Rhinolophus ferrumequinum: one gene and its partner. The protein of the gene in region 2 purifies or fractionates together with the protein of the main gene of each other region. This does not show direct contact. Links are inferred from orthologs where the notes say so. Each region holds a gene or a part of one and is shown on either strand. Other genes may lie near its edges.

Evidence for each region. The genes of interacting proteins can lie anywhere in the genome.
Region 1: the proteins of DUSP4 (region 2) and MAPK14 purify together in Homo sapiens (affinity purification with mass spectrometry; 3 studies listed by BioGRID and IntAct, with this or other methods). This does not show direct contact. The link is inferred for Rhinolophus ferrumequinum from reciprocal best matches to the Homo sapiens genes DUSP4 and MAPK14.

The regions. Positions count from the first base shown.
Region 1 is NC_046286.1:5,992,225-5,995,969, forward strand, and holds the start of MAPK14 (mitogen-activated protein kinase 14), read left to right. Parts: upstream 1-1,212; 5' UTR 1,213-1,561; coding exon 1,562-1,677; intron 1,678-3,745. UniProt on the Homo sapiens protein: Serine/threonine kinase which acts as an essential component of the MAP kinase signal transduction pathway.
Region 2 is NC_046287.1:68,037,924-68,041,668, reverse strand, and holds the start of DUSP4 (dual specificity protein phosphatase 4), read right to left. Parts: upstream 2,943-3,745; 5' UTR 1-2,942. UniProt on the Homo sapiens protein: Regulates mitogenic signal transduction by dephosphorylating both Thr and Tyr residues on MAP kinases ERK1 and ERK2.

The DNA of each region.
Region 1 (3,745 bases), on a different chromosome or scaffold from region 2:
GACAGGCAAAGTCTGAGCACTCCAAAGGATGCACAACACAAAAGAGAATAGTCACGGGAAGTGAAGAACATTGTCCTGGCTTGGACCTAGTTATTTCTAAGCAAAATAACTATGAGAATAAGATAGGGTCCAACTCTTCTGCTTATTGTAACAAGCTTCAGCATATGGATAGGGTTATACTAACTTGCCCAATCACATTTATTATCTTGGTCAGCTTGATAAATGACCCTACTAGGTGGGAAGGTAAGACAGGAATTCTCTTTTGCAGAACTAAGGTCTAAGAAAGGCCCACTGACTTGCCTAAGAAGACACTGTCAGAAGACTACTCTGCCCTTTTCTTACTCTGAGAGGCATGAATTAAATCCTCAAAATCTTCTTCAGTGGAAGCTCTTCATGTCAGGAGTCAATTTCAAACCCTCAACGTAGTGGTTTTAAAAATGCTTTTCTAAGGGAAAAGCATCAGAGACTTCCCTGAATCAGAAATGCCTGAGGCATATTGTAAAATTGCACATTCTTGGTGCCCATCACAGACTAATCCAATCAGACTCCTTGTGTGTCCTGGGAATCTGCATTTTTAAACTCCCAATGTGATTCTTTTGCACATAAAAGTTTGAGAACTACTAGGAGAGTTTGGGTGCAAAATCTCAGCCTTAATGAAGGGCTAATATTTGCTTTTGGGACAGATTTCATCAAAATTCTGAAGAGTAAGCCATATGTCCTTGAGCAGATGGGAATGTTACGGCTTTTTGGCCAGAATCTCTCTCTCTCTCTCTTTTTAAATGCAGTTATTTCTTGGAAATTTGGGATTCCGCTGAGCAGGTGCTCTACTGCTGGTAACTAACCACTGTTCAAAGATCTTTTGGCTCTTTTCCCCGACACCCTATCTGTCACTGTCGCTTTTCACCACGAAGCCAGGCAGTTGCTCCGCCGACCACAGTGGGGCGCACGCAGCATGTGTTGCCTGCTTATTCTCTCTTTCCCCGGTCCGCCTTCGCGCCCTTAATAAGAACATACCCCGAGAGTTCCTGCCTCTGGTCTCCAGCTGTTGCTCTCTTCTCGCGAGAATTGCTACTCCCGTCCTCTCCCCTCCTCAAGCCCCTCCCGTGGGTAGGTTCCATATTGGGTAAAATCTCGGCTCGCGTAGAGTCTCGGGAGCTGTTCTCGCGAGAGTACGGCGGGAGGCTCCTGTTCGCTGGCTCTGGAACGGCGACCACTGAAACCTCAGCGGGCACAGCTGCTGTAGCCCTAGTCCCGTGGCGTAGCCCAGAGTCGGCCTGGTCCGGAGAGGGTGCAGGGAGAGCGTGGCCGGCGCAGCCCTGAGCGCCGGAGCGCGCCCCTGCTCTTAGCAGGGCTTGCCCTCGTCGTGCAGGCGCGTCCAGCCGCTGCAGCTGACAGGGGCAGCGCGCGCGGGAGTCGGCGGGGTCGCGGCAGCCGCACCTGCGCGTGCGGCCAGTGCGGGATCCCAGCCCCACCCGGCGGGCAACGAGGGCCAGGGAGCGGGTGCGGGTGCAGGCGGGGCCCGCGGAGGGCCACCTCCTCGCCCCGCGGCCGCTGCTGGAAGATGTCTCAGGAAAGGCCCACGTTTTACCGGCAGGAACTGAACAAGACTATCTGGGAGGTGCCTGAGCGTTATCAGAACCTGTCCCCGGTGGGCTCCGGCGCCTATGGCTCCGTGTGGTGAGTGTCACTGGGCTTGGGGCTGTGGTGGCTGGCTGGCCCTGCATGCCCCAGAGCCAGGCCTGCCCCCACGGCTCAGCGATGCACCAAGCGGCAGGAATTTTCCTTGGGGGAGGGCATCGCTGCCCCTTCAACCCCTGTCCAGCACTCCCTGTGCCCCTTGCACCCCTCACCCTGCACACACCTAGGTAGGTGGTCAGCTGTGTGCAGGACGCAGGTCCACGGTGGGCGGTGGGTCGTGCTGGAGCTCAGCCCTGGCTCGCACCCTGCACATTCCTTTCTTGGGGGTTGCTGCTCCGGGGGAGGCTTTTTCTGGGGGTCTCCCTGCTGGCGTCGAGCGGGAGGACCCTCTCCGGAGGTGCGCCCATCATGGGCTCCGGAGCCTGCCCTCTGAGCAGACAAACCCGGGGAGCTGCCCCGAGAAGCAGAAGAGCAAAGCCCGACCGGGAGACGGCGGTAAACCGAACAAAACTGGCGGCGAAGGGCGTTCTGTCCTGGTTTCTTTGCAAACCTCTGTCGAAATCCCATTTTGAGAAGCGTTCTTTTTGAATTCGCACTTCAATTAGCAGCGACCCATAGAGCTTAAAATACCGACTTTATCTCGGTGAGCACTGTGCCAACTCGAGTGGTGTGTTTCCGATTCGGTTGAAAGCGTATTTCCTTTTCGCAGAGTGGGGGGTGGGTGGTAGTGCTGGCAAGAACGCTGCAGCTTGAGAAACTGGCGGCCTCGCTGATTAGTCACATACCACTGCTCATTTAAGTATTGTTTGACAAAACTATTTTCTCATTTGGTGCAAGTAAGATTCAGATCCGTTGGACGCCCTCAAGATCAAAAAGTTAGGAACAATGGTGGGAGGTATTGTAAATGTTTTTTTAATTGCGATAATTCTTGTGAATAGTACTGTGTTTTTAAAGTCCCTGAGAGAGTTTGCAGGGAACTTATCTACATTTATAGCCTGAGGACACAGTGGTTTTCGTAAGGATAGGGAATATATAAAAAAGGAAGGAAGAGACACTTTTCAGCTTTAATTCGCACTGTGAGTGTGTTTTGCATTAAATTCATACCTTAAAATTTCCGGACCTGAAGTAATTACACTAATTTCTCTAACTTCCAAGGTTTTTTCACTGTATTTTAGATTTAATGTAATTTGAGAGCTCCTGATCTGAAACTGATTCATGTAAATTCATACCCATACATCATTGGAAAGGGGTCTATATACAATTACTTTTTGTTTTGGAACAAATTCCAGGCTTTTGAACATATTAGTCTTTAAATAGAATTCCCCTGTTTCTTAAAGTCACACTCACATCATGAATTTCCTGTTCAGTAGAATCTTCTGGGTAATTGAGATTGTGCAATTGTGTCTCACAGTAGATCATATTGCATTTTCTAGTTCAAGCTGCTTGAATTATGTTGCTAAGGCACGATGCTTGACATCTTTTCCACATTTTTATAGTACAGCAGTCTACATTTTAAGGGAATTTGCAGCATTTTACTATGTGTGTGTATGTGTGTGTGTGTTATTGATTTGCTAATTTTCAAAGATGTATTTGGTCATTGCTCCTTTCATAGCTCATTAGTTTATTTTTAATTCTTGAATTGATACATTAATTTTTGTAGTACCAAGGTTTTGTTTCTAGTGTTTAAATTTGAATGGAATGAGTGATACAGCAGAGAATAGCTCAACTGTGGTGAGTTGAGCAAACTTGAAAGGAACTATTTGCAAGGTTTCCCTACTGTTGGTGTGGGTAGCTCTGCACTGGAATTGAAGATGCAGATTTACAGTGGAGTGCCATTCAAGTGAACTCCACATTTCTTTAGTGCTAGTATACTTTCTGGCTTATAGAAGCCAGGAATTTCTGACACTTGGAATAATTTTGTTACACAGGTTTTTAAAAATAGTTGATACATTACACTGTATAAAATTCAGAGGGTATAAAAGGATATTCAGTGAAAAGTCTTTTCTTCTGTTCTCCAGCCATGCTATTCCTTTCCTCAGAGACAGCCACTGTTAAGTTTGTTTTGTGTCTTTCCAAGAGGCAGAGTTGTTTTTTAGTAGTATTTCTG
Region 2 (3,745 bases):
GGGCTCTCACCGACGACCCTCTTCTCCCCAGTCCCCTTCCTCCTGCAGTCTGGCAATCACATAGCAGTCCTAGCGGCCTCGGGAGCCAGACAGTACCGCGCGCGGTGCGAGGGGCAGTCGGCGGTGGAGGGGGCTGTGTTTACGGCAAAGGGCCAAGGGTTCCCTTCTGATGTGGCCTCTTTGTATTTGGCCGGTTGTGCTGCTCCTGACGGCACCGGCGTTACGGCTCCGCTGCCGTTCCCCACAAGAAGCCGGAGCTCGGCTCCCTACCCCAGCCGGAGTTTCCTCCTCCGCTTAGAGATTTATTAACGCTCCTCTGCTCCCTCCCGGGAGGAGGCAGATTCAGTACTACCTTATGAGGCCCCGCCTCTTTCCATTCGGGACCTCGCGCCTCCCGCCCCCCTTGCCTGCTCCCCGCCCCATCCCTGCTCCTTCCTCCCAGTGGGCCCCTCCTCCCACCCCCTACCCGGCGCGTGAATGGAGTGCCAGGCGCTCGCTCCCAGTCACGGGAACGAGACGTCACAAAGAGCGGAGTAAACAGGGAGCTAGGCGCTCGCCGCCAGGCCCATTCATAAAACCTGGACCTAGAGGAAGAGGGAGGCGGCCTTCGACCCGCAGGCGAGCTGCGCTCCCGGACTTTGTGAATGGAGCGCAGCGACGCCTCTAGTCTTCAGCCCGCGGGTCCTGGCCTCCGCCGCGCCAGTCTTGCTCCGCACGAGTCGCGGTGCAGCCATGCCACCCGGCTGCGGCATTAGGCGAAAAGAAATTAGCTCGTCGCGAATCCGACCTAACCGAGGCCAGGGCTCGGTTTTGAGATTTCATCCCTTTTTACCTCTGTGCTTTACCTTTAACGGCCTCGCAGGCCTCCTCCCCGGCTCGGGAGAGGAAGGGACCGTGGCACGGCTACCCGGACAGCAGGGCCTCGGACCTCCTCGCTCCAAGCTTACAGAGCGCGTTCGGCCCGGCCGGCCAGTCGTTTTTTTCAAATGCGATTCCTCTGACGTTAGCTTATGCATTAGCGTGATCGATTTTCATCTTAAGCCATTAAATCAGCTTTACAGCTTCCCGAGGACGTGGGCAAGCCCCAACTTAGAAGATGAAAGAGAAAGCTCTCCCGCCGAAGCCCAGTAATGGGAGCGAGGTGTTGGGTCTGTCTCTTTACGAGCCAGAGGGAGGCATTCATTGCCGGAATGTTGTTCCTCTGGAGAAAGGCTGGGGTGCCCCTCCAGTCCACGCTTTCTAAAGATACTTGTTTAACCCGGGGGTAGAGGGTTAGGGGACAAAAAAAACCCGACGTTTTCGGCTTTGGAAAAGTCCCCACCCCATCCTGCACACTTGTGAGTTGTCTTATCAGTAAATGACACTGAGGGTCCACATTTTGTGCGAAGCTAGACCCTGAGAAATCTACGCGCAAAGAAATAAGCTCTGGGGCGATTCGGGTCTCTGCATCCCGCTTTCCAGGTCATGTAGCATTCTTCCCCGCCCCCAGTTTTACTTATGCATTTAATTTCCCAGAGGCCGCTTTTGGCTGGGGGTTTATAAGCGCCGCGGTGGGGACACGCCAGAAGCCAAAAATTATTCGCCCGACATCTTGCCAAGTCTTGTTAGTGAGAATTAATCAACGAGCGGGGTATTGCAGGACTCGCTCGCGGCCTCGGTGGCAGCGGGTCGAATCTTCCACTCCAGGTCCGCGTGGAAGCCCGGCCCCAGGAACCATTCGTCGCGGAACCTGCTGGGTCTCTCCGGCCTCCAACTAGGCTTTCCGCTCCGCCTTTGTTCTCCGCGGAGCGCCTCGCCTAAGCTCTCACCTCCGGCCCCCAGGGCCATCCCTCCACTCCCCTAGGAGGCCCGCAGGGGGCCTCCACTTCCGAGGCCTAGGGCAACCCGACTCCCCCGCCCGGGGATCTTCCTTTACCTGGGACTACAAAATTGCTCAGCACGGTATTGCAGTGATCCTGTGTCCCTATTTAGAATTTAATATTTTGTTCATCACAATTTTTTGCATTAATTTTAATTGCTTAAAAATCATTGCATGAAGATACTATTTATTTTGACCGCAGACTTTTTGGTGCTCCTTAAATTTTGCGTCCGAGGCGCACTGCTCACTCTAGTTCCAGCCCTGGAAGGAGCCACAACGGCGGATCGAAGGAGGCTTCCGGGTGGCGGGACCTCGGGCGCTGGGCACTCCGGGTGGAAGCCAGCGGTCAAAGGCTCATTGCGTGGCCTCTCCGGTGGGGACGGGTTTGTACTCGCTCCCGAGGTCAAAAGGGGCTTGGGTCCGGTTTCTCATAGGCTGAGGTGGCTGTGAAGTTCTGTCTAAAGCCTGGCTCTCCCTGGTACTCCCAGAAAACGCGCTTTCCAAGGAGCCCCCCATGCCCCGACCGTCCCGGGCTCATCCGCTGTCCCGGGCAGACCAGGAATCCCGCCCCTGCCAGGCCCCGGGGCCGGGACTTCTCCCTGCCCAGGGAAACGTCGACGCCTTCACAAGGGCTTGGAAGAGCCTCTCAGGCGAGGCAGGTCCAGGCCAATTTCGCATATGTTGTAGGAGCTGGGGAGACGTCCTTGGGCCGCGCTGGCCGCGTCCTGCCAGCCTTTGTCTCCCCTGCGCTGGGGTCGCCTCCCGGCGGGCCGACCCCCACCCAGCGCTCACGTGGCCCGTAAATAAGTCAATCCCGGGGGAGGAAAATGCCCACCGAAGAAAGGCTTGCTTTTTGCACCTGACAGTAATGCGTGCTGGCGAAGCCCGTAAATCCCTCTGGCGATGAATAAGGAAGGGGGTGTGGGCGGGCGCGTGTGAGCGATTGTGTGCCCACGTGTGCGTGCCCGCGCCTGCGCGCCCGCTCCCTGGAGGGGAACCGCAGCTTCGGACCGAATGGATTTAAGCCAAGAGCCGCTTTAATTACGAACGCGAATGCCTGATTTTTGAAAGAGACTAATTAAAAAAAAAAAAAAAAGTCCTCTCCTGAACTCAGGAATTTGCCTTCAGCTGTGTGAATTTCAGCAAATGAGATTTAAAGTTTGTATTTATCTGGATCCTATTTAAGCACCTAGTTTTTAAATTTTTTAATTGTTGTTATTTTAAATTTGTCGGCCTTTCTGTATACAGTTAAATGAATACAATGTGTGGGCTACCCGATACTGACTACAGAGAAGATAAAATTTGTCTCCTGTTAGTATGCAGGCTGGGGATGGGACACTCAATCAGTTTACACAGGAACTTGTGAAACAGCTTGTCAATAAGTAGATCTTGGAGAAAAAGGCATTTGGAAGGAAGACATTGTTTGAATGTTATTTCAAAGTTAATTTAATTAACGAAGGCATATCTGCAGGAGCTGGGATGGGATTACCCAAGGAGAGAGATTTTATTTATATTCAGCAGTAAACCTCTGGGGGGAAAATACTTTAAAAATTCACTGTGACATGTGAATCCACTCTCTCATCAGACAGTCCTTAGACCAACCTTATTAGTCACTGTGAGGCCTGGCAAAACCTATGTTCTTGTTTAAAAACATTTCTTTCCAATTAGGAAGTTGTGTGATCTGGGAATTTAAAGCCCAGAGTAGGATCCCCAGGGAGGACAATGGCTTCTATTCTGGTTTTGATGCCAACCTCTGACTCACAGTGTCCCAAAGTGCCTGAATAAAAACTAGCCTGAAAAAATCATTAATGAATTAATCAAGGTGGTGATGGAAAGAAAGGTCCTGTGGATTCCTCCTTCCTGAGCAGGTAGGGCACCTTACTCATC